Linked DNA regions of Tamandua tetradactyla. The protein of the gene in region 1 interacts with the protein of each later gene in a biochemical or structural test. Links are inferred from orthologs where the notes say so. Each region holds a gene or a part of one and is shown on either strand. Other genes may lie near its edges. The genes, in order: BMP7, BMPR1A and ACVR1.

Region 1 (6,922 bases):
TCAGGATAAATTCGCTTTTCTTTGCTTGGCCAGGAAGTAGATGTTCATGAAAAGTTTCCTTGTTGTTGTTTTTAAAACTTTTGGAGGCTCTCATGCTAACATATTTTCCTTTTCATCCAGATGGCAACTGACATTTATCAGGCGTTTTCTCTGTGTCCCCAGGCGCCATTCAAAGCCCTTTACGGGAATTAAATTCTGAATCCTTGCAGCAGCCCCAGGAGGCAGGCACTCTCAGTAGCCCATTTTCCAGGTGGGGGAACTGAGGTCCAGAGGAGTGGAGACCCTTGCCCTTGTCATGCAGATGGGAAGCGGCAGCCCAGGGTGTCCACAACTCCTGCCACCACCTGAGACCCTCTAAATGGTCTCACAGCTTTTAGCTCCCAAGCCAGCATCGGAGGCAGTTCCAGCCCAGACATTGCCTGCATGTTTGCATTCATTCATTCATTCATTTACTCCTTCCTTCATTTGTTTGGCAAGCATTAATTGAGGGCCTGGCTCAACCCTGGGACTCCTTTAGGGGAGAAAGCAGGGAAAATAAAGAGCCGCCCCCTCCCCCAGCAGGGAAAGATAAGGTTAAATAGGGGGATCTTGGGAGTTCAGAGGGGACCTTATCTTTTCCTATTGGAAGTGCCTCATGAAGGGGCTCATTCTGCATTGATTGTCACTGGACAGCTGTCACTGGACAGCTATTTACTGAGCAAATGCTGGGTGTCAGGCTCAGGATGAGCTCAGAGGAGATGCAAAGAGAGGGGCAAGTCCTTGCTTCAAGGATTTCCAGCGGCAGAGAGGAGCCTGGAGGAGATGCTGACAATCCTGTACCAGTCCTTATTTGTGCTCCTGTGTAAATCCGCAGCACCCATACCTGCCCTCCTCTCCAGGCTCATTTGCTTGTAAAACAACACCCCTCCCCACCCCTCACCCCGCCAAAACAAAAAGCTTTGCGAAATGCTTAAAAAAGCAGAGACAGTGTGGGGAGCCACTGTGATTCTCATTTGCATTTTACCTCCTGGAAGAAAGGGCTGCCTTCATCTTCACTGGCCTCTGAGGTAGCAGGTATAGCCGCTTCGCCCCTGGCGAGCCAGCATGGGGGTGCATGGGTGGTGGTGGTGGTGGAACCCTTTCCCGGTCCCCAGGGCTTGGGCATTCGCTGTCCCTCTGCCTGGCTCAGGTCAACGACAACTCCTCCCTCACCACCTTACCTTGTTTATTTCCTCTGTCGCTTATCCTGAGCTGAAAGGAGCAGGTTGTTGAGTTGTGCACTCTGCCTCTGGTGGAACCTCGAGGCCACCGGCACTCTCTGACTTCCCATCACCCCCGTGGTAGCCACCCCCTCCACAATGCTCTCAGCCCACCTGTCCTCCCTCCTCACCCTCCTCCGCCTGCCTTCCAGCTGCCCAGGGTGCCAGAGAGGAAGGATGGACATGGGCTGCCTCCTCTCCCTCCCCTCCCCAGCCAAGCCTGATTTAAGGTGCCAGGTTTGCTGCCCCTGACCTGAAAGCCAGTTCCTTGACAGTGGCCACCTCACGGGCTCCTGCTGTACCCCCTGTTAGCACAATGTCAGGCCATGGGATTGCCACGTTGGGGGGCCCAGTGCAAGATGAAAATGCGGGGCCCTTGTTCATGGAATATTAAGAAATTCAAGATGGCGACAAGGGAGCATTAAACAAGTGTGGGCCTTTCTGAGCACCAGCCCTGGGGAGACTCACGGGCTGTACTCTGACCCTGTTCGGTGACCAGGAAGTGCTCAGGAGTGAAGGGCTGATGGGCAGTTCAAGGGGCCCCAATCCTAGGTAAGGGGCTCAGGCCTGGGGGCTATTTGACATACCCTTCCTCCTCACTGAGCCTCTGGCCTCTTCTCTCAACCCATGTGACCCCCTTACTCCAGCCTCTTGTCTGAAAGCCCCAAAGAGAGATCGGGAAGGCTGTAAGCAGAACTGTCTCTGCTGGAGAATACTGGAAAAGACCAGCTTGGCCAAGTTCCCCTTCATCAGCCTTCCTGCTGCAGGGAGGACCAGCCCTTCGGGCCTAGCCAGACCCTTCAAAAGTAAATCCCCTGCCCCAAACCTAGCCTTCCACCTTACCGCGTTGGATGACTCTCCATCTAGCCCACCCAACGGGAGTCACCACTTTGTATGCTTGCCTCCTCGGGGTAGAACCAGAAAGGAAGGAGGCAAGATTTGAAGTTCAACTCACGGTGCTCCCTGCTGCTCACGGTGAGGTGTTCTTCTGCTCCCACTTTTACAGAGGAGGAAACTGGGGCTCTGGGGAGCAGAAATTCACATATGGTCCAATAGCTGGCAGAGGGGACCCATAGGTTCTGAGCTGTCTGGCTCAGTTATGTTTGTGGGGAGAATGAATGAGGGAAGGTGTGGGGAGGGCAGAAAGGAGGCAAGGAGGAGCTGGCAGGTGAGGTCTCAGATAAACTAGGTGCCAAGGCAAGCTGCCTGCCCCCACACACGGTCAGGGTGGAGAACTGCGGGGGAATGTCAGAGAGTGGATGGCTGTTCTGGGGAGTTGGAAATAAATGGAGCCCAAAAGAGGAGGAGAGGGGAGGAGTTACTCCAATTTCATCTACTCATTCAACAAGTATTGCTTGGGCAGGGCAGTGGCTACCAGGTGTTGGATTTAAGGGCCTAGGGAGACGAGAGCAACCTTATGGGGAGACACACTAAAGAATTCTCCGCAAGATAAAATAATCATGTGTAAGAGTGAGGGGGCAAGCCACCTTAGCTGCCCTGGTCTGGGAAGCGCTCTGGGAGAAGGTGACAGCCAGGTAGACTGTCCAAGCACCGGGTATGGAAAGGGAAGTGAGGGGGTAGTGGAGAGTTTGAGGCAGAGGGAATTGCAAGTGCAGAAACAAGTTGGAGACAAAGTTGGGGGGAGGCGCAGCAGGGTGAGCATGGCTGCAGGGCAGAAAGCTGGAGGGCAGAGGGACAAGATGGGCTCTTGTGACACCTCCTCTGCGACTTCTCCTCTGATTCCCGCGCCTGCTCAGAGCTTCATCCATTATATCCCGGATTCCAGGGTCCCGCTCGGGCCTCCTTTCCATCCCGACTGTAAGTCCCGGGAGGGCAGGGCCGTCTCGGATTCCTCCCTTCGAAGCCCCGCGGCGCCCGACCCGGTGCTGGACACCCTGTGGGCACTCGGTAAATATTTGTCGAGCGCGCTAAAAGGGATGAATGAACCCATTGGGCGCAGTTGGGGGGAGGGCGGGGCCGAGGGCAGGTGGGAGGCCGCCGGCGCGGGAGGGCCCCTGGAAGTCCGTCCTCCTCCTCCTCCTCCTCCTCCTCCCAGGCCCCAACGCGTACCACTCTGGGGCTCCCGAGGCGGCCTCTCGTGCGATCAGGGACGCACAGGGCTGGGAAAGCGATCCGTGAGCCCTGCTTTCCGCGCCGGAGGTCGGAAGAGAGTGGGTCGCGGCCGCCGGAGGGCGAGAGCGCCGGAGGAGCGGGAGGAAGGAGCGCTCGCTCGCCAGCTGCCTCGCTGCCTCCCCGGCGCCTGCTCTCGCCGGCTGGGAGGTTGGCTGGCTGCTCCTCCCACCCGCGCCAGCCTCTTCGCTAGCTTGCTGGTTGGAGCTGGTTTCCAAGCCCCGCGGTGCGCCCGGGGGACTGCGGGGCGAGGGGCCCCAGGGCCAGCGCCGAGCCGGGGGCGGGGGTCCGGGCAGAGCGCAGCCGGCCGGGGAGGGGCCATGTCCGGCGCGGGCGCGGCGGGGCCCGTCTGCAGCAAGTGACCGATCGGCGTGGACAGCTGCCTGCCCCTCTCCGCCACCTGGGGCGGCGCGGGCCCGGGTGCCGGGAGCCGGGTGCCCGGGCGGCGCGGAGAGCCGGCGCGATGCACGTGCGCTCGCTGCGCGCCGCGGCGCCCCCCAGCTTCGTGGCGCTCTGGGCGCCCCTGTTTCTACTGCGCTCCGCCCTGGCCGACTTCAGCCTGGACAACGAGGTGCACTCGAGTTTCATCCACCGGCGCCTCCGCAGCCAGGAGCGGCGGGAGATGCAGCGCGAGATTCTCTCCATCTTGGGCTTACCCCACCGCCCGCGCCCGCACCTCCAGGGCAAGCACAACTCGGCGCCCATGTTCATGCTGGACCTGTACAATGCCATGGCGGTGGAGGAGGGCGGCGGGCCCGACGGCCAGGGCTTCTCCTATCCCTACAAGGCTGTCTTCAGTACCCAGGGCCCCCCTCTGGCCAGCCTTCAAGACAGCCACTTCCTCACCGATGCCGACATGGTGATGAGCTTCGTCAACCTCGGTGAGTGAGGGCGGGCGGGAGGGGTGCGCGTCTTGGGCCGGGCGCCGCAGGACAAGGAGGGGGCCGCCCCTTATGTTCAGTCCGCCCACCTCTCCACTCCCGGAGGTTTGCCAAGCCGCCGGTGCCTGCCTGGTCGAGAGTCCCCCAACCCCCAGCCCAAGTGGACCCCAAGCTGAGCGCGGCCCCAGGTAGCGTGAGCCGGGCTCGGCTGGCCTGTTGCTGTTATTGGGAGGGAGGGAGCCGCCTGAAGCCCCCTTGGGGTACGACGCGGGCCGCACCTCTAGTGTTGGAGGCGCCGGGCCCGGCCGCGGTTCAGTTCAAAGCGCGGGGCTCGGTCATGTGAGCTGCCCGCGCTACCTGAATTTAAAGAGTCTTTCTAGTGAAACCGCCTTCCCGCCCTTCTTCGGTGCCGCTCAGCCCTGCCCAGCCCTGTCACCGCGGCCGTCGCGGCCCCTTCCCGCCTTGGCGAGCCCCACCTGTCCCCTCGCTGGGCCGCCCGCCGGAGCGTGCTGCGCGCCCCGGGCGCCCCGGAGCCCCTCTCCCCGGGCACCCCCCTCTCTCCCGGCTCTACCCGCCGGAACTGGGGAAGAAACGTTGCCGTTGCGAGCTTTCTATTTTAAAATATTTAATGATAGGTCCCGGGCGGGTAGAATCCATTTTCAGCTTTTATCACGTGTGGCGCGCCAACCACCGGTTTGGGCGATTGGGTGGCGCGGGATCTCTGAGCAGACGCCACCGGGGGCGGCTGGGGGACCCGGATCCCGACGGTAGCCGCGATGACACCGGCGACGGAAAGCTGGGGCTTCGGCGGGGGCCCCGTGGCTCCCCTCGGTAGGGGCTGCGTACATTCTCCAGACTTGCGCAAACTAACCCCCGACAGCGCACTGTGGGGCGGAAGACCAAATATTTGATCTCAGAGATAAAGCACCCCGATAGCGCCGTTTCCCCAGCCGCTTTTATTCTACTTGCTGCGAAAATCCGAACCGAGTCAAGACAGCAAACTTCCACCCACGGGCTCTGTGTCAACATCGAAATAATGACCCTAAATCCCCACGTCGGGTACCTGGGGAGTGGATGGGGGTGGGGGAAAGCAGGGATCGGGTTTAATGCTTCCCGCCCCAGGTACCCTGGACGCCATTGTCTGTCTTAAATGATAACCAAACATCAACTAGTGAAATGCGCTTTGGCGAGCAAGGGGTGGGAGATTTAGATGCCCAGGTAAGTTCAAGAAAACTTTGAGTTTTATTAGCAGCCTGGTAGGAGGGAGGCAGCTGCACAGTCCGGATTTAGAAACTAACCAAGGTATATGAGGTGGAAAACAGCAAGGTGCAGGAATCAGTGAGTCTGCGTGTGTGTTTGGGTATCATCCCTGCCCTTCCTTCTGCAGGAAGACACCATGACAAACTGCAAATAGATTTAGTGAGGTGGAGGCAGAAGTGGGGCTGGGGCTTACCGGTGGTAGAGGGGGTTCTGATTTTTCACTCTCTGTCTGCACTTTGATCTGTGGCCTTTTTTTTTTTTTTACAGTGTGTATTTATTACCTGTAGCAAATCTAAAGAAAAATTATAAAAATGGAAAAGTAGACGTGGAGCTTCTGTTCTTTCCTGAAGTGGGGGTGGGGTGGGGGTGGGGCAGGGTTAAACCAGGACCCTTTCTCTGGCTGAGGATCCAAACCTCTTCCCTTCTGTTGGTTCAGATGGGTTCCCAGCACTGAATGAAGCAGGTCCCACCTGCAGCCTTGGGAGCCTGGCTGGGGTCGTTAAAAAGGCATTTGTAAGCCCTGGCTTCTGTAGAAGGCTCTGCAGACTCAGTCCAAAAAGTGCCCCATGCTTGTAGATTGGCAGTGTGGCTGAACCCCGGGCTACCACCCCCTTCCCACACCCCATCCCAGAGGAGTGAGTGCCTCTGGGTAGCTGGGGTAGGGCTGTTTGCTTCCCCCTGCTGTGGAGGTGGGGGTGGTGGGGGCGGTGGGAACGAGTTGGGACTCGTTTGGGAAGGCCCCAGTTGGGTGGTTTTCCTCCTGTGGGTGTACACACACCTTTCAACGCCGTTAGCCCTGTTTCTTTCATCTTGCGAGGACAAAGACCAGCTTGTCTGAGCCTCTTCATCAGCTGGCCTGGCTCTGGGCTCCGTGGGACAGTCCTGACTTTCTCAGGTCTAACTTTGTGGAACATCACTCCGAATTAGATGGTGGAGTGGCTATTAACAGGGCACGCTGAGCTTGTTTTTTCTCTCTCTCTTTCCTAAAACGAAAGGCACTTCATTAGATGAAGACCTGGAGTACAGTTTGGCAAAACTCTTCCTGTAGAGCCTTCTAGGGCTGGCCTTTAATTTCTGCTCAGCAACAACACATGCATAAAATGTCTGCCCCTTCTATTCTGCCTTGGCTCTGGAATTTCTCCGTAGGAGGGGTGGTGGTAATGGGGCTGGAGGGGAAGGGGGCAAGTAGGGCACTTGTCCTGCAGCTGAGTTTACTGAGAAAGCACACTGTCCCCTTGGCCTGTAGATCCTATCCATCCGTAATATACAAACTTTTCAAAAGGTACGTTCAGTCACACTTTCCGTTAAGAGTGAGAAAATGTCACTTGTCCATATCAAACCACTGCTCGCTACATTCAGGAAACTTTGAGGGCCCAACTGATGGAGACCTTGGTGGCAGAGGGGTAGGCTGAC
Region 2 (7,297 bases), on another chromosome or scaffold:
TGGCAATGAGATGTCCGATCTGAGGTAATGGAGTAAGGAGGCCTCAGAGATAGGTGGAATGTAGAAGGAAAGAATGTAGGAACCAAATGCTGGAAGCAGGTAAGTGTGGCTGCAAGTATTTACTGGTGCACAGTAGAGACTGTGTTGTAGGGCTCGGGCTGAGTCTAGGTGACAGAGGAAATGGAGTTCCAGGAAGGTTAACAGGCCAGGTGTTCAAGGCACAAGAAAAGGGCTGTGAGTCAGTTCACAGAAAGGGGCTAAGGTTAGGGTTCCTCAAGTAAGTATCAAAGGCCGCAGGAGTCTGAGTTGCTGGCTTGGGACTGGAGCCCTGAGAATTTCCCATCTCAGGGCCTACATCCTGGAAAGGACTGGGGTCTATGGTAAAGGAAGCATTGATAGTGGGGAGAGGACAACCAACTACAGAGGCCAGGAACTAGGAAGGACGAAGTAAAGGCTAAACGATAACCTCAGTAAACCATATACTGTCTTTTTTGAAAAAAATTTTTATTGTGAAATATACATGCAGAAAAGTGATAAATTTCGAAGTACAGTGTAACAAGTAGTTAAAGAGCAAATGTCAAAGTATGGTATGGGTTACAGTTCCAGAATTTCAGGTATTTCCTTCTAGCTATTCTAATACATTAGAGATTTACAAGAAATATCAATATTATTCGGTAGTCACAATCATTTATAATCCTATCTCCTCTGTTACAACTCCTCGCTCTCATTTGTTCCTTCTCCCAATCTTCAGGGCTATTTGGGCAATGACCATTCTAACTTCTTCATGTTAGAAAGGGGTGTCGACATTATGGGGATGGGGAATGCAACTAGTCAATGTTTTTGGAGAGACTGGTGCCTCTGGGTTTCATGGCTTATCTGGTATATGAATAATCTGGAGGCATAAACCATCTTCATAGTAAACAAATACTTTGAAGCAAAGAGAATTTGAAATGGAGTAGGGAAGAAGGAAGAAGTTTTTTAGAAGTAAAATAGAAGGGAAAGTAAAGCACTGTACCATTATAAAGAAAAGGAATAAATTCATGTTTTTAATTTTTTCTCTAATTTATGCCCGTAATTATTACTTGTATGTAGGCTTCTTTTTCTTAAACACAAGATGTTGTGGCTTGGTATTTCTGAACCAGGTTGGGGTATTTTGAATCAATATAATGATGAAGTAGTGTTCTTGCTGAGAAATGCAAATGTTTCCTCTACTCTCCTCAACCTTTTCATCCATTTAATAACCAATCTGAAACCAACCTAAAGTATCATCCTACCAAAGGCCTCCTATCAATAATCCCTCCTTACTACGCTCTAACTTATCACCAAACCTACAAAGACTTGGTGCTACCTACAAAGACTTGGTTCTGTAATGACTCACAAAGTCATTACAACGGGAAAATGATTTTGGATGGATTCACTGCCAATGAACTTGGATCCCTGAAGGTAGAAGCCCATTTTCCTGAAGATGGTGAAATCCACAGCTTCCCCGGCCAATCTTCAACCCTTCCAACAGAGTCCACAACATCCCCTAAAACTGGAAGGGTCTTGGTGACAAAAGTTCAGAAATGCTCAGAGGAATATTCTATCCTTATCTATCTCATTCAGCAACAAATATGGAGCACTTAGAATGTGCCAGGCACAGTTGAGAACAAAACTGACAAGGTCTTTGCTCTCATGGGGTTTACATTTCAGAAGGGAGGGAGGACACACCCACATATCTGAACAAGGTAACTGCAAGAGTAAAAAGCGGTATAATGAAAATGAAATTTAAGGGGTTATTAATTTACGATAGGTGACCAGGGAAGGCCTCCCTGGGGAACCTAAGACCTGTATGAGAAGGTGCCAGTAAGGGGAAGATCTAATACATTTCTGTTCCAAAGTGCCAGTAAGGGGAAGATCTAATACATTTCTGTTCCAAACTAATGCTATGTGATTTGGCCATGCAACAGCAGGGGACCAAAACCTCAAACAGGCTGTACAGAGGAAAAGGCCCATTTCTAGCCCCTTCTATTAATTTACTTACAGGAATACCATCACATTTAAAAATGTTAAATTTGAATCTTGGGACACTGCCTTTGAGTTTGGTGGCCAGACCACACGTGCCCAGATGTCGCCTTGGGCTTCCTGGCTGCACTGTTCGTTTAGTGGGCAGGCAAACCGGAGAAACAGGCTGGCACGCATACACATGCCAGGAACCAAAGACAACACAATGCTGTGTTCGGCTGTCGGAAGGTTGCCTGCCGTGATATATGCTTGGGATTTTAATATGGGCACTAGATGAGGTAAGGAGAGCAAAATGAGGTCAAGTGAAATTCCGAAAGACTTTGAAAAGTAGATCGTTTTGTAGAGAAGCAGTCAGAGATGTCATGACTTAAAATTTGATGTCTCAATTTTGCTCTCATTTTCATGTTGGCATATAACCACAAGTCAGCAACACTGAGGTGGGTATTTCAGACATCTGATGGACTAAAGTTCCAACTTGAGACTCTTGGCTATTGACAGACTAATACAGTGTCTAAAAATCGATCTAGGATATAGAGTACGTAACACACACACCATGCTTTTCTCTGTCATGACACACTGCTCAGAGTACAGCAGTGAATTCTTCCGCCCATCAATCTGAATCTGCTTGAGCAAAAGGCCCACCCTTTCCCCTATAATTATAGCAGGGCAGTATACAGGAAACTTGAAAAAGAAGTGACAAATTGTAATTGATGTTAAGGAAACTCACATATCTTAGATTCTTTCTGCATAGCAAGATACTATAACCCACTGACTCTCAAACCTGAGACAGCTAAATTAGAGCCCAGAACAAAAGTCAGAGAAGAAAACAGCACCGAAAAATAATTCGGATTTATCAAGGTATTCTGAGTCATTAAGGGTAAAGGTAGGAAAAAGAAAAGCTAAGGGGGACGGGCTGAAAGACGGAGAGTAAAAAAACATCCAAACAAGAACATAAGGATAAATAAGGATATCAAGAAATGCCCTGAGATCTAAATAACTCTGGAGGAGAACGTGTATTAAAAAAAACAAAACAAGGTCTGGCACATTTTTTCCTCCCTCCCCCTTCTCTTCATCCACAATTTTAAAAGTGATTTCATAAAGAGACTTTTGGAAAACACCATCTTTTGTAAGGAGACTAAAATTAACATGATCTACTCATTGAGATGAAATACGAATAGGGTCAGTTTGGTTGTTAAGGGAGGCCTTGTCCCCTTTCTTCCCATACAGGACACTGTATATCTTCAACTGCCTTTGCCACAAAAGACGAGGGAAAATTCAAAGGGAAGAGGTAGTGACGATCATTTACAACTTTGTAAACGGAGACTCCGGAGGGTACACAAGGTCACAAAAGCGAGCCAAAGGTAAAGATGGGAGGAATATTTATAGTCCGCTGACTTCAGCGTCGGGTGAGCGCCTTTGGAACCCACGGGCTCGCAGATCCCAGCGCGAGCTGGGTCTCCGAGACCGCGGATCGACGAAGAAATGCCTTTTTCCTCGGCTCACCCCGAGACCGCTCACCTCCACCTCCCTCACGGGTCCCCGGCACGTCGGCAAAGAGCCCCAAAAGGGAAGCGACCCGGGCAGTAATAAGCCAAGTGTGACTGCATCTTTCGTTTCTCTGTCGCAACCCTACTAGTTCAGTGGCCTGGCGACCGCACAGCTCGGTGCGTGAATTCTGGCCGACTACGTTCGTCCGGACGCAACCAGGCCGGTGCCCGCGCGCGCTGCCGGGGTGTGCGAAGCGCCGAGAGAGCCCAGCGAGCCCTGTCGCCCGCCCTCCGCGGCGCCTTCTCCACCGCGTCGGCCCCGAGGTCCCCCACGCCGCGGCGCCCAGGCTGGCGGCTTCCGGAGACCTGGGGCCGGCTGGTCTCGCGCCGAGCGACGGGGCGGCGGCACGCCGAGGAGAAGCCCCCCTCCTCTCCGCTCCCAGCAACCAGGCGCCCCCTTGCCGGCGGCCCGGCGTCCCCCCCGGCAGCGGGGCGCCGGCCTTCGCGGGCCCTTCGGGTGCTTCCGCCGCACGCTCGGCTCCCTTCGAGTCCAGGGCGGGGCCGGCGCCCAGGCTTGGGTGCGCGCGGCGCTGGCGGGCGCCCTCTCAGTGCGTGCGCGCGGCGCCCGGGGCTCGCACAGGCCCGCCCCTCCCCCAGCGGCCCCCGCTGCCCCGGTCCTCCTTCCCCCGCACCCCCCCCCCGCGCGAGTGTCGGCCCCGGCGGCGGCGGCTGCCGAGATTGGAATCCGCCTGCTGGCCTGCGCCGAAGGAGGAGGGCGGAGGGCTGGGAGGGCGGGCAGGAAGGCTCGGGCTCCGGCGGGTCCGTCTGCGCGAGACGAGGATCGCACGGCCGCGCGAGGGGCTACAGGGCCCGGGTCGCTGCACACCGAGGGTGGAGGCCGAGCCGGGCCCCAGGCGCTCCCCCCCGGCTCACAGCGCGCACCCCGTTCCGCGCAGAGGGGCTGGAGGATGAGTGCCCCGGGATCCGGGTGAGTTGACTTGTCCGAAAGTGCGTGTGCGCGCCGGGAGGGCCGGGCCGCAGCGGGGAGGCCGGCGCGGCGCTCGGAGCGAAGTTTCTGAGGGAACCGGACCGCGAGCTGGGAGGCCCGGTGGACGATGGCTGTCCGAAGCGGGGGCGGCGGCCGGAGGGAGGGGGCGGTGGCCCGAGGGAGGGGGCGGTGGCCCGAGGGAGGGGGCGGCTGACCGAGGGAGGGGGCGGCGCTCGGAGGGACGCTGCAGCTTGGCCCGGTGGGCCCGTAGGGCCCCCGCGGCCTCGAGCGTTGTCAGCCTGCGCCTCGCGCTGTCCCTCAGGCCGCGGCGCGGGTCGGGCCCCGCCGACCCCGAGTCCCCACCCGGGACTGTCGCCTCCAGCTCTCGCCCGGGCTCCCCCACTTCCACCCCTAGAGACCCTTCGGGCCCTGCCTGCCGCCCGCGGCGCCCCCGCCGCCCGGCCCCTCCTTTGTTTCCCACCCCCGGGTTTCAGGCCGACTTTGGGAAGGCGGTGTTGGCAAAAGGCGCCTGCAGTACGCGACTTGAATCCTTAAATGGGAAAGGGGGTCCTTAAATGGAAAAGGCGCTCACCCCGCGCCCAGTAGCTGCGAGGTTGATACGCGTGATTAGTCTCTGGACGCTTCTGCAAAAGGGGGTGAAAAGTGTTTCATGTGGACGTAGAACTAGGGGGATTTCTTGCTTCCCCGAAAGCTTGCCCACGGGAAGGTGCCGGGTTTCTCGCAGGTCCCTGTGTCGGTTCACCTGCCCTTCGCTGCCGTGTCTGTTGTGATGCTGCGCTTCAGTTTCCGAAAACTTTTTTGCTGAATTGAATGCAACCTTTTTCTTTTCCAGACTCCTAGTGGAAAGGTTTAGCAAGGGGAAAAAAAAACACAACAAAAAATACTTGCGTCAGGGAAGAAAAATAATGTGCTCTGTGTTAGGGTCTGGCTTTTTGTGACTTGTACTCTTTCATGCTCTCAGATATTTTAATTTGGTTTAAGTGTTGCAGTTTTTTCCTCTTCTAAACGGTTAACAAACTGTTCCCGAGTATATTGTATGGACTTGGCACAGTCACCTGTGTTACGTCATTTAATCCGTATGCTAAAGCCTGGTTATTGTATTCCACACTTTTCGGAGGAGGAAACCAAGACTCAGAGTGGTTAAATAACTTGTTTAAGGGAGCTGGGATTTTGAACCCGGAATTTTCCTTCATATTCAGGAACTGTTAAGATGAAGTATACTATGAGTTCAAAAACACCCACAACCACAACTCTTCTGCACTTGCATGTTGAGCAGTTTTTATTTACATTTAAAATGATGACTATTTTTGCTTGAGTTGAAAATAACTCCTTTACTATATTGACTTGTAGGAAGAGTTAAACTTTGAATTGAAATGAAATGTTAATACTGTTTATCATTGTTTTCAGTTGTTGAAATTAAAAGTTTTTGAACCAGAATAATTTAAATATTTAAATTTACAGCCAAAATACAGGTTGTTCTCTGATCTAGAGTTGGGTTGAGTTTATGAAAGGCTTGATTGAGATTTAGAAAGCATTTCTTAATAGAAACAATGTTCTATTCCTGGCCCCCCCCCCCCCACGTTCTCCTTAGCGTCTATTTCAGATCTCTTTTATTTTCTTCACATCTCTCTGCCCGTACTAAAAAGATTGAGGCATCCCTGTGGGAACACCTTCCAGAATTTACTGAGTTCCTTCTATCATCTGCTGCTTCTCTTCTCAGAGGAAGAATATTTTTTGTCCTTTTTGCTAAATTAACACCTTACTTGTTCTTTATTCTCTTCTTTTCTACTTAATGGAGCAGAAATTATCCCTCAAAAGTCTTTGGGTTCTTAAAAGTATAAATGTGCTTAAGATTCCCTCAATTTTTTGAGAACTTTCCTTGAGCCCCTACTCCCTCAAGCTGTCTTGTTGACTGCTTTTCCTTTTCAAATGAATTAAAAAGTTAATAAAAAAAAGTTTTTCCCTGTAAAAGTAATACATGTTTATTAAAGCAGAATTGCAAAATGGAGTAAAACTGAGGTAAAATTAAAATTCAGTCATTCATAGTCCCGTTTCTGTAACAATTGCCATGGTTAACTACACTTCTTGAAGGAGTAGTCTGCTTTTCCTGCCTTCCTGGCCTCTCATTCACTTCTTAATCTCTTGCTACCTGGATTTCACCTTCACAAATCAATTGAAACTGTTATTTTGAAGATCATCTATAACCTAATCAACACATTCAAGCACCTTTTCTAAATAGTCTCCTTGAGATTTTTGTAGCGTTTAGCATTACATTCTCGAAATGCTTTTGTATACATTTCATTCAACGAATAGTTGCTGTATTCCAACACACAGTGCAAGGCAATAGGATGCATCAGCATCAGCAGGTATGCTCTTTGCCCTTATAGAGTTTATAGTCTAGAGGAGGAGAAGGATATTGAAGAATGGATTATGTAATTAACTGTAATTGCGATTATAATTAAAGTGCCAAGTGTTATATAAGAGCCTAAAATGGGGACCTGTTCTGGTACTGGTATTGTTGGGAGAATCTGGGGAGGCCTCTCTAAAAATGTTGCCTTGGAACACAGGACAATTTTGAAAGACAGGTGACAACTAGATGAAAAGGGGGCTTCTGACTTTGTCATTCACTGCTCCTTTTCTACATTCTGTTCTTCTTCCTGCTTAATTTAAGTGCCCTTTAAGTTTCAGTTTTCAGTCCGCTTTCTATGTACCTCTGGTCCTTTGACATTATTGTTCAGACTCTTCTTTATGTGTAATTCTCAAATCTCTATCTTGATTTCTCTTCTGCGCTTGAATT
Region 3 (8,075 bases), on another chromosome or scaffold:
AAATAGCCCATGTCCACTGGACAGTCACAGACATATTTCTTTCTTCTTGTTACACTGATAACTGTTGTCACTCTTGGTCATAGTGGGTTGTTCCTCTTTGGGCTCCTTCAGTGCAAAGAGCAGAGGAGAAAGTCCAAAGCGTGAGATCAGAAGTTGCACATATCACTTCTAATGTATGTTCCATTCGTGAGGAGTTAGTTTTATGGGCATACCTAGCCATGAGGGAGGTTGGGAAATGAAGTCTCTGTTGGTCAGCATTGACCCAGGAAGAGAGGGAAAGACAGAAAATTAGCAGACTCTGTTCCACTGACTATACATTCCAGTTTTATTGACTATTACAACGTGTCTCCTTTGATAGATATAAATTGTCGTATATATTTTGGTCTTTTTTTTGTGGATATTCATGTAGGTTTATTGCTCTGTTTGCCTATGTATATACCATAGTCATATTGTTTCAACTCTTGGAGCTTAAAATGTTTTTTTTTTTCTTTTTGGTAGAGTAGTCTCCCCTTTTTTACTCTCTTTTACAGAATTTTCATGTGTGTGTGTTTATATGAGCTTTAAAATAATCATGTGCAGTCATCCTGGGCCCCTTACTCTTCCCTAGAGAAGAAAACCTGCAAATTTTGGGGATTGTGTTAAATATATAGATAAACCCCTTATGGACAGTTCATATCTTTATGATAATTTTTCTTATTAGGTCGTAGGTTGCATAGTCCAATTTGGGGAATCTCTGATCTGGAAGCTAGCCTTCGCATTTCCATTGACACATAAAACATAATTGAAAGAGGAAGCACCAACTTCTTACAAGATATATTAGTTTTTTTTTAACAGTTGATTTCTTTTTATCACTAGGAAACCTACATCTGTTCTTTGTGCTACTAAAAATTAATAAAATTGGAATTTGGGGAAAACCCCCAAATTTTCCTCAGTTTGAAGGTGAGGAATAATAGATATTTCAGAAATTGATTAATAAATGTATTTGTAACACACAAACCTGGGCACATTTTTGCATGTCTGATGCATAATGCTTATATGTCTTCTGTGTGTTTCTGTGTGCATGCGTGTTTGTTGTACTTTCTTTTAACAATATACATTCAGCTTTTGTGCATTCCTTTTTAACCTTTTTATCGTAAAATAAACACAGATACAGAAATCCTCACAAAATAAACCTAGTTTAGTTAATACAAGGGAGGTATCTCTGACCTCCTCTCATGTTGACAAGAGAGTGTTAGCAGCCGCTCTAGAGCTCATTCTCATGCCCTGGCCCAGTCACAGCTGCCCCCTCTCTCCCTCCAGCAGTAACCACTTCCTGACTTTTATAGTAATTGCTTCCTTCATTTCTTTATGGTTTCCTCACCCAAGTATGCATACTCAGCCAGTGCAGTTCAATCTTGTCTCTCTGTCTCTCTCTCAGCCTTTTCTTTTTTTAATTATATCTGTTACAAACCTGACCATCTGAGTGATAGTTTCCCACTGCCTGGATTTTGCTGATTGCACCTTCATGGTTCAATTCATCCTGTTTGCCTTTTCATTTCGTAGAAAGTAGTAGTTTAAGACAACAGTCTGGGAGCCTGGGACACTCATTTTTACTGGGTTAGCCATTGTTTCTGTGCCTTTTTACCAGGCAGAGCAGGAAGTAAATATATATAAAATATTTCATGAGTTCATACTGGTACCCCAATTAAATTCTAGGGTTTTTACTTAACATATTCTGTGTGTCCTCAATATCTCATTTATTGCACAGAAATCCAGTTCTCAAGAACAGCAGAAGTGATTGAATTAGACTAGGTCATTTACTTAATCCCCATATATATATACACACACACACCATAACTGTCTCGATATTACCATTGTATCACTGGTTATGAAAACTGGAGGCTGATTTAAATTTTTTTAAAATTTCCTTTTTGTATTCTATTTCCATTCTCCCCTTGATTTATGTGTGTATGTATGTGTGCTTATAGTTGAAAATTGGGGGAAATTAAACGCTGATTATGTTTAAGATGATATTTGGGGGAGGGATAATTTTAATTTTGCTAGGTGAGATGAGGTTTTATAGTTGTGTTTAGAAAAAGTCTTTATCTGCTAGAGAATTTGTGGGTAAAATGATAAGACACCTGGATTCTCCTTAAACTATTTCAGGAAAAAAGTGGGCAGAAGAGGAAATAAGGTTGCTTATTTTTGAAATTGGGTGGTAGAAAGTGGGGATTATTATACTTCCTCTGTTTCTATGTATGCATGAAATATCTATAATACATAAGTTATAAAAAATTAACTTACAGGGAAGTGCAATGGTGGCTCAGTGGCAGAATTCTCGCCTACCATACCGGAGACCTGGGTTTGTTTCCCAGTGCCTGCCCATGCAACAAACAAACAAACAAAAATTAATTGACAGTGGACATCATGGTAGGGGAAGATGTTAATTAGGAAGGAGTAGTCCCATGGGAGGGAAAATGCAGTCTTACCCTGGTGTCACAGTGTTAGCTCCATGGCCTACAGTGGTCCTTGAAGTTAAAAAAAAAAAAATGAATGAGATCTTGAGTGAGAAGGAGAGAAGGCTGAGGTGTGTGGTCCTTGAGGAAATCATGATTTAAGAGATGCATAGCAGAAGAGGAAATCCCCATGAAAGAAAACTGAACAAACCCATATAACCAGCCCATGTAACTAAGTGTCCTGGAGGAAGAAAAGTCCCTGGACCCCAGCTAGGGAAGAGTTTCTGGAAGAAGGAGGCTGTCGACACCAGCCCATCACAGAGTAGATGAATGAGATCACCCGTGGCAACCTCAGCTTCCTCTGAGTTGCTGTTGGGACTGAGATTCTTGTGCCTCTTTTCAGGATTGATGGAATAAAAATCTCTCTGGGTGAGCCTGGGAATCCATGTTTTGAAGAAGCGCCCTTATCCTGCTAAAGGATAAGGTACAGACTAAACAAAACCTTAGCGAGAGGCATTACAGTGAGTTGTCTTGGACAGGACACAGTGGATTGAAGACCAGAGGAGAGGAAGTGGAAAAAGATTGTCCTTCCCGTGCGAAAGCAGAAAGAGTAGGTATGGGGCCAAAGGGGAGGCTCCCTTTGGATTGAGGGATTTGTTGGTGTTTGTAGAAATAATTTGAGAGGTTTTCCTGAATGGTTCCCAGCACAGGATGTTCAGGTAGTCAAATGAAGCGTGCGGTTAGGCCCCCATCACCAGAGAGATTATTTTGGGGAGAACTTAATTTTCTGACCGTTCAGAGCAAGCTTGGAAAGAGGCAAGATGGATTAGATGTTCCTTTCATTTGATATTATTTTTAAATCACATATTAGAAGAGAAGGGGCTCTAGTGTCTTTTCACTGCCTCAGCTTCTCAAGTTCTTACTGGGCTTTTTGGCCCCTTGAGGTGGCAGCACTGACTCATCCAGCCCTGAGGGGAAGGAAGGAATGGGGTCAGGTGGGCTGTTCATAGCACTTTTCTCTTGTTCACTTGCCCACCCCCCTTCACCTTCTGGTAGTTTCTTTTTCTCTCACTTAAGAATGGCCCACTAGAGTCCACAGAACCCAGCAGAAGGGGTCACTTCGTGTGAAGTTATTTACTTTGGGACGTGGGGGGATTCCCATATTTTCCTGACTTTCATAATCATGTTGCCAAGGGCAGTGGGTGTTTGGTGCTTGCCTTTTCCTTCTCCTCTTTTCTTCTGTTTAATACCGGATCAGGCTCATAATTTTCTCCCATGTGAGCTTTCTAGCTCTGCGTACTTGGGGATGTCATCTACCTTTAAAATTTTATTCTATTCTCCCCATTTAGTATGGTGTGTTTCGCTGTATTTTTAACTTATCAGTTTTCCTAGTCAGGTCAGTGAGTGTTTTTTGGTTGGTGGGTGGGTGATTTTTTTGGGTTACATCAGTAATTGGATCTGTTTCTACACAGTATCCTGAATCCCTCCCTAGCTGGTTTCTTTTCTCATGTTCTGTTGTGGTAACGTCAATACTAACCCGTTCAACTTGTACACTGACCCTGTGTCCATGGCTCATTTTCTTTCTCATGATCGTATTTATATTTTTGGTGGATATATTTAAATGAACAGCTGTGCATTTGTTGAGTCATACCACAATTATCTGATTCTGCTTTAGCTGTTCCACTGGCAAAAGCGTATTTCTAGCTAAGTTGTGAGAGATTCCATTAATCACATTCCAGTTGGGGGAAGGGAGAGGAGAAAAACCACTAAAAGAGTGTTTTGAAAGACTAATGTTAGCAACTTATTACATTATTTAGAGTAAGTTGATTTGGTTGCTATAGCTTCATAGGCAAAATTCCCTGTCATCATTGGCTTGGAGATAAAAGTTAAGTTGCTGGTGCTGGTCTATTTAAATAGATAAGAGGTCTTTGAGAGAGTTCCTTTCTGTTAAGACTGGGCTTTTGATTCAAAATTCCTTGAATTTATTGGCTAAGTATTTTTTGTTTTGTCTTCTCAGCAGATAACATCTGATGCAGAAGATGTTACAAGTTCCCTTTTCTTCAAATGTACTAATTGCTAATTGTAACCTCTGGTTGAATCTGTGGCTTCCATCAGCCAGATCTATTTTTCTCTTGACACTTCCTCTGGGTTCTTTCTGGAGGTTATTAATAGACATGGAAGCATGACTTTCCAAATAGCATCAATAACCGTTAGAAGACTTGGGGGGAGGGGATAATATGTCAATTTTTGACTTATAGGAGATGCATTTTCAAGCTACAGAAGCCATTTCCGAGGTCACTCAGGATGGCTCAGCTGGTGTCTGCAAGTAGAGAGCCAAGCAGTCCTTTCCAAATGGGAAATTGTCCGCCAGGGAGTTATCTGGTACACTTGGAGTCTGCCAGCCGACTTTTTATTTTGGCTGCTTCTCTTGGATGACACCCATGAAAGTGGAGTTCAAGTTTCAAATGATATCTTTTAATTTACCTCAAACACCTGGTTGCTACTATATTAAATTGAGGACATGAGGCACCCCATCTCCCTTGGTCATTTTCTTGCCAACCTACATAAAATTCCTAAAACTTCACTTTCCTCTCCTCATCCAGACCAAAATGCAACATAGACTTAGAATTTAAGATTACTGTGTTTTCACATGAATCTGACCGTGCCAGGTGCAGGGATGTCTGACCATGAGCCAGACAGAGTTTTTACTCTCATGTTGGTTACTTACATTTTGGTGGGGAGACCAAGGGGAAAAAGATAATAAATGAATAAATAACAGATTTCACAGATTTAAAAGCTATGAAGAAGATATAGCAAGGTAACAAACGCAGTGCAATCGGAGGTGAACGTGAGAAAGTCTGAGACAGGAAGAAATGAATTTGGAAGTGGGTAGGTGGGGTGTGGACGAGGAGAAAGGTTCTGGCAAGGTACATTGTGTAAAGGGTACTTTTTTCTCACATCTGTAAATATGTACTGACAGTTTCCTGTTTTAAAACTTAAAAACAAACAAACAAAAAACAACAGACCTCCCTGAGGGTTCCATCCTTTTCATTCATCTCCATCCCCATCCCCATCCCCACCCCCTTCAGATCATTAGAGGTTAATCATTTTAACCTTAGAATTGGGATAAATCACCAAATGAACCATCACTTGGCTGTAATGAGAGGGAAACTTCAGGTCAGGCATAGTTAGGAAGGGTAGACACAATCTAACTTAAGACTTCTGGAGAATGTGGGATTTTTACCAGTAGGTAAGAAAATTGTTCTGGTCACATTTTGCAAAGTGGAGTAAGAGGAACACACCTCTGAGCTATTGAGGAGAAAAAAGATTACAGAACAGCTGGGAGATGGAATCCTGTTAGTTGGAGCAAAGCAGGAGTATGAGGGCTATTTGATACAAAGGAATTGAAGTGGAAAATGAGGGACAGTTTCTCTTCTGGTCAAGCATGATAAAATAAAAACTAGTTTGAAAGTTCCGGTAAGGTATGCAAGTGGGCAGTCAAGACATTGGAAGTTTCAGAGGCTTAGTTTAGTTACACACCTTGTAGGTGTGTGGCAGTGCTGGGTAAATTCAAAGTAGATTGAGAGGGGATTCTTTGGTTCTTACTTCGTAGCCCAAGCTAAACCATTCACTTAGTTTTACTCAATGAATCCTTACCTTTTCTCCCTCTTTTCACAGATTATCATATTGCTTTTTCCCCAAAATTTTAGGGCGATTTTCCAGGCTAGAATGGTCAGAGTGTAAATCTTTCACTCAAAACCCTTGCTTTGCTGAAAAAATCTGTAATTATTTCCTCTCACTATGGATGTACTAATTCCAGAGCTGGATGTCAGGTGTTTAAGATTTGTTCAAGAAGCTCTTTGAATTCATGTATCAGGAAAGATCAGATTACATGCTAATATTTTTAAAGTGACGCCCTGCCAGAAACCTCCAGCAGCACTGGTGTCTATATAAAACCAAGTTCTGGCAACATGTGCTTGGCTAGTTCAGACACAGAGTGTGGTGGTAAAAACATTGAACAGGCCATTTTGTGAGCTGGAGAAGGGAGCTGACAACTCCTATGGTCTGATGGCTTGGTTAGACTTTTCTTTATAGCTGTCCCTGACAGCCCACATCTCTCTTCACCCCCACTAAGGAAGGGCCTAAGTAGTTTGGGTCAAGATGCTGCTTGGGTTATCTCTTTGCCTGTTGACAATGGAAGAGAAATAAATGTTCTCACAGAATGGCTAATTGTTGTCACACTTGCAGTTGGTTATTGTAAGTATATTTTCCCCTAATGTTTTATGTCTATAATTTCCCCTACTGGGCCTGTCTTTTCAAAAAAATGTTCCTGACTTATACTGTTTTATTTTGAAGGGTGAATTTTAAGACTACTGAAGAGTGGGATGGGGAAATGGTAGATAGAAACCTCTCTGTGTCATCAAGGCAGCTGGTTTTTCTTTTGCATCAAGATTTTTTGGGGAGTGTGGGAGGGAGAAGATAATCCAGGGTTATAAAGTAGATGGAATTAATTTTGAGGTGAGAGAAATGGAAAGAGGGCCTGATTGAGAAGGGCTCAAATAACCATAGGTGTAGGTTTTTCACTAACAAGAAGATTTTTGAAGCTCAGAATGAGTTCAGGCTTGGATAAAATGTTGAGGATGATAAAACCGGATTGTGAATCTATGGCTGGTTAAGGGGTGGTTGTGAAGAGCGGTGGTTAATTAGGATCCAAACTCTGGTCAGATGGCCTTGGGTTTGGATTTGTGACCTTGGGCAAATTACTTAAAAGTCTATCTATCCGTTTTCTTATCTGTAAAATGGATTAATGGGTATTTATCTTAAAGTGTTTTGGGCAGAGATTGAATGAAATGTAATACATTTTGATTCCTTGGCACTGTGCCTGGCTCATTAAGTGCCATTGCTATTAAGGTGATAATGATATAATGCTGACAGATGACTGGGAGAAGGCAGAAGTACCCTTATTTCTTATAACTTTCCACTCATCTTCAGTGTTATGAATGACAAATTATGTGGTGTTTGTAAGTCTAAGTTTTAGCGCTATAGATTATCAACTAAGATCACTTACTGTGGATTCCAAAAGTTAACATGGAAATGTATTATACTCTTATTTATTCAGTGACCAATATAAAAATGCTTTTGTAACTTTTGCCCCCTGTATTGTATTGCAGAGTATCTGTGACTTTATCCAGCTGTAAAATTGTGACAGGCAAAAGAAGTACCAGACTTGGTCTACAGCCTACACATGTTAGAAATTGAGCTAAGCTCCTTAACTAGATATCAGTCTGATCTATAAATGGAGTTTGAAAAGTACCATGGGATTTGGAAAGTGGTTCTCTTCTGCTCTGGTGATGTGTCTGTTTTTAGTAGAGCGTCATGGGAATGTTCTGTCTCCCAGGAGAGCAGGCCTAAGATATTACAAGAGATGGTGCTGATTTAACGGGGGTACTCGGGTTAAGTTGGGGTGGGGCTCCCTATCTGAGCAGCAATTTTCTTTGTCTTTGATATTAAGAGCATTTACCAGGGCTGGAGGGACTAACCTAAGAGCAAAAGGAGGATGCTTATATATGTATACCGGAGACAAACTCGCATATTCTGCACGCCTCTGTGATCCCTGGTAGCCTGTGATTTCTCAGTGAG

Evidence for each region.
Region 2: the proteins of BMP7 (region 1) and BMPR1A form a complex in vitro, tested with the Homo sapiens proteins (2 studies listed by BioGRID). The link is inferred for Tamandua tetradactyla from reciprocal best matches to the Homo sapiens genes BMP7 and BMPR1A.
Region 3: the proteins of BMP7 (region 1) and ACVR1 form a complex in vitro, tested with the Homo sapiens proteins (2 studies listed by BioGRID). The link is inferred for Tamandua tetradactyla from reciprocal best matches to the Homo sapiens genes BMP7 and ACVR1.

What each region holds. Positions count from the first base shown.
Region 1 is NC_135327.1:28,167,576-28,174,497, forward strand, and holds the start of BMP7 (bone morphogenetic protein 7), read left to right. Parts: upstream 1-3,831; coding exon 3,832-4,249; intron 4,250-6,922. UniProt on the Homo sapiens protein: Growth factor of the TGF-beta superfamily that plays important role in various biological processes, including embryogenesis, hematopoiesis, neurogenesis and skeletal morphogenesis.
Region 2 is NC_135339.1:9,125,205-9,132,501, reverse strand, and holds the start of BMPR1A (bone morphogenetic protein receptor type-1A), read left to right. Parts: upstream 1-4,286; 5' UTR 4,287-4,479; intron 4,480-7,297. UniProt on the Homo sapiens protein: On ligand binding, forms a receptor complex consisting of two type II and two type I transmembrane serine/threonine kinases.
Region 3 is NC_135329.1:128,173,219-128,181,293, reverse strand, and holds the start of ACVR1 (activin receptor type-1), read left to right. Parts: upstream 1-5,018; 5' UTR 5,019-6,657; coding exon 6,658-6,692; intron 6,693-8,075. UniProt on the Homo sapiens protein: Bone morphogenetic protein (BMP) type I receptor that is involved in a wide variety of biological processes, including bone, heart, cartilage, nervous, and reproductive system development and regulation.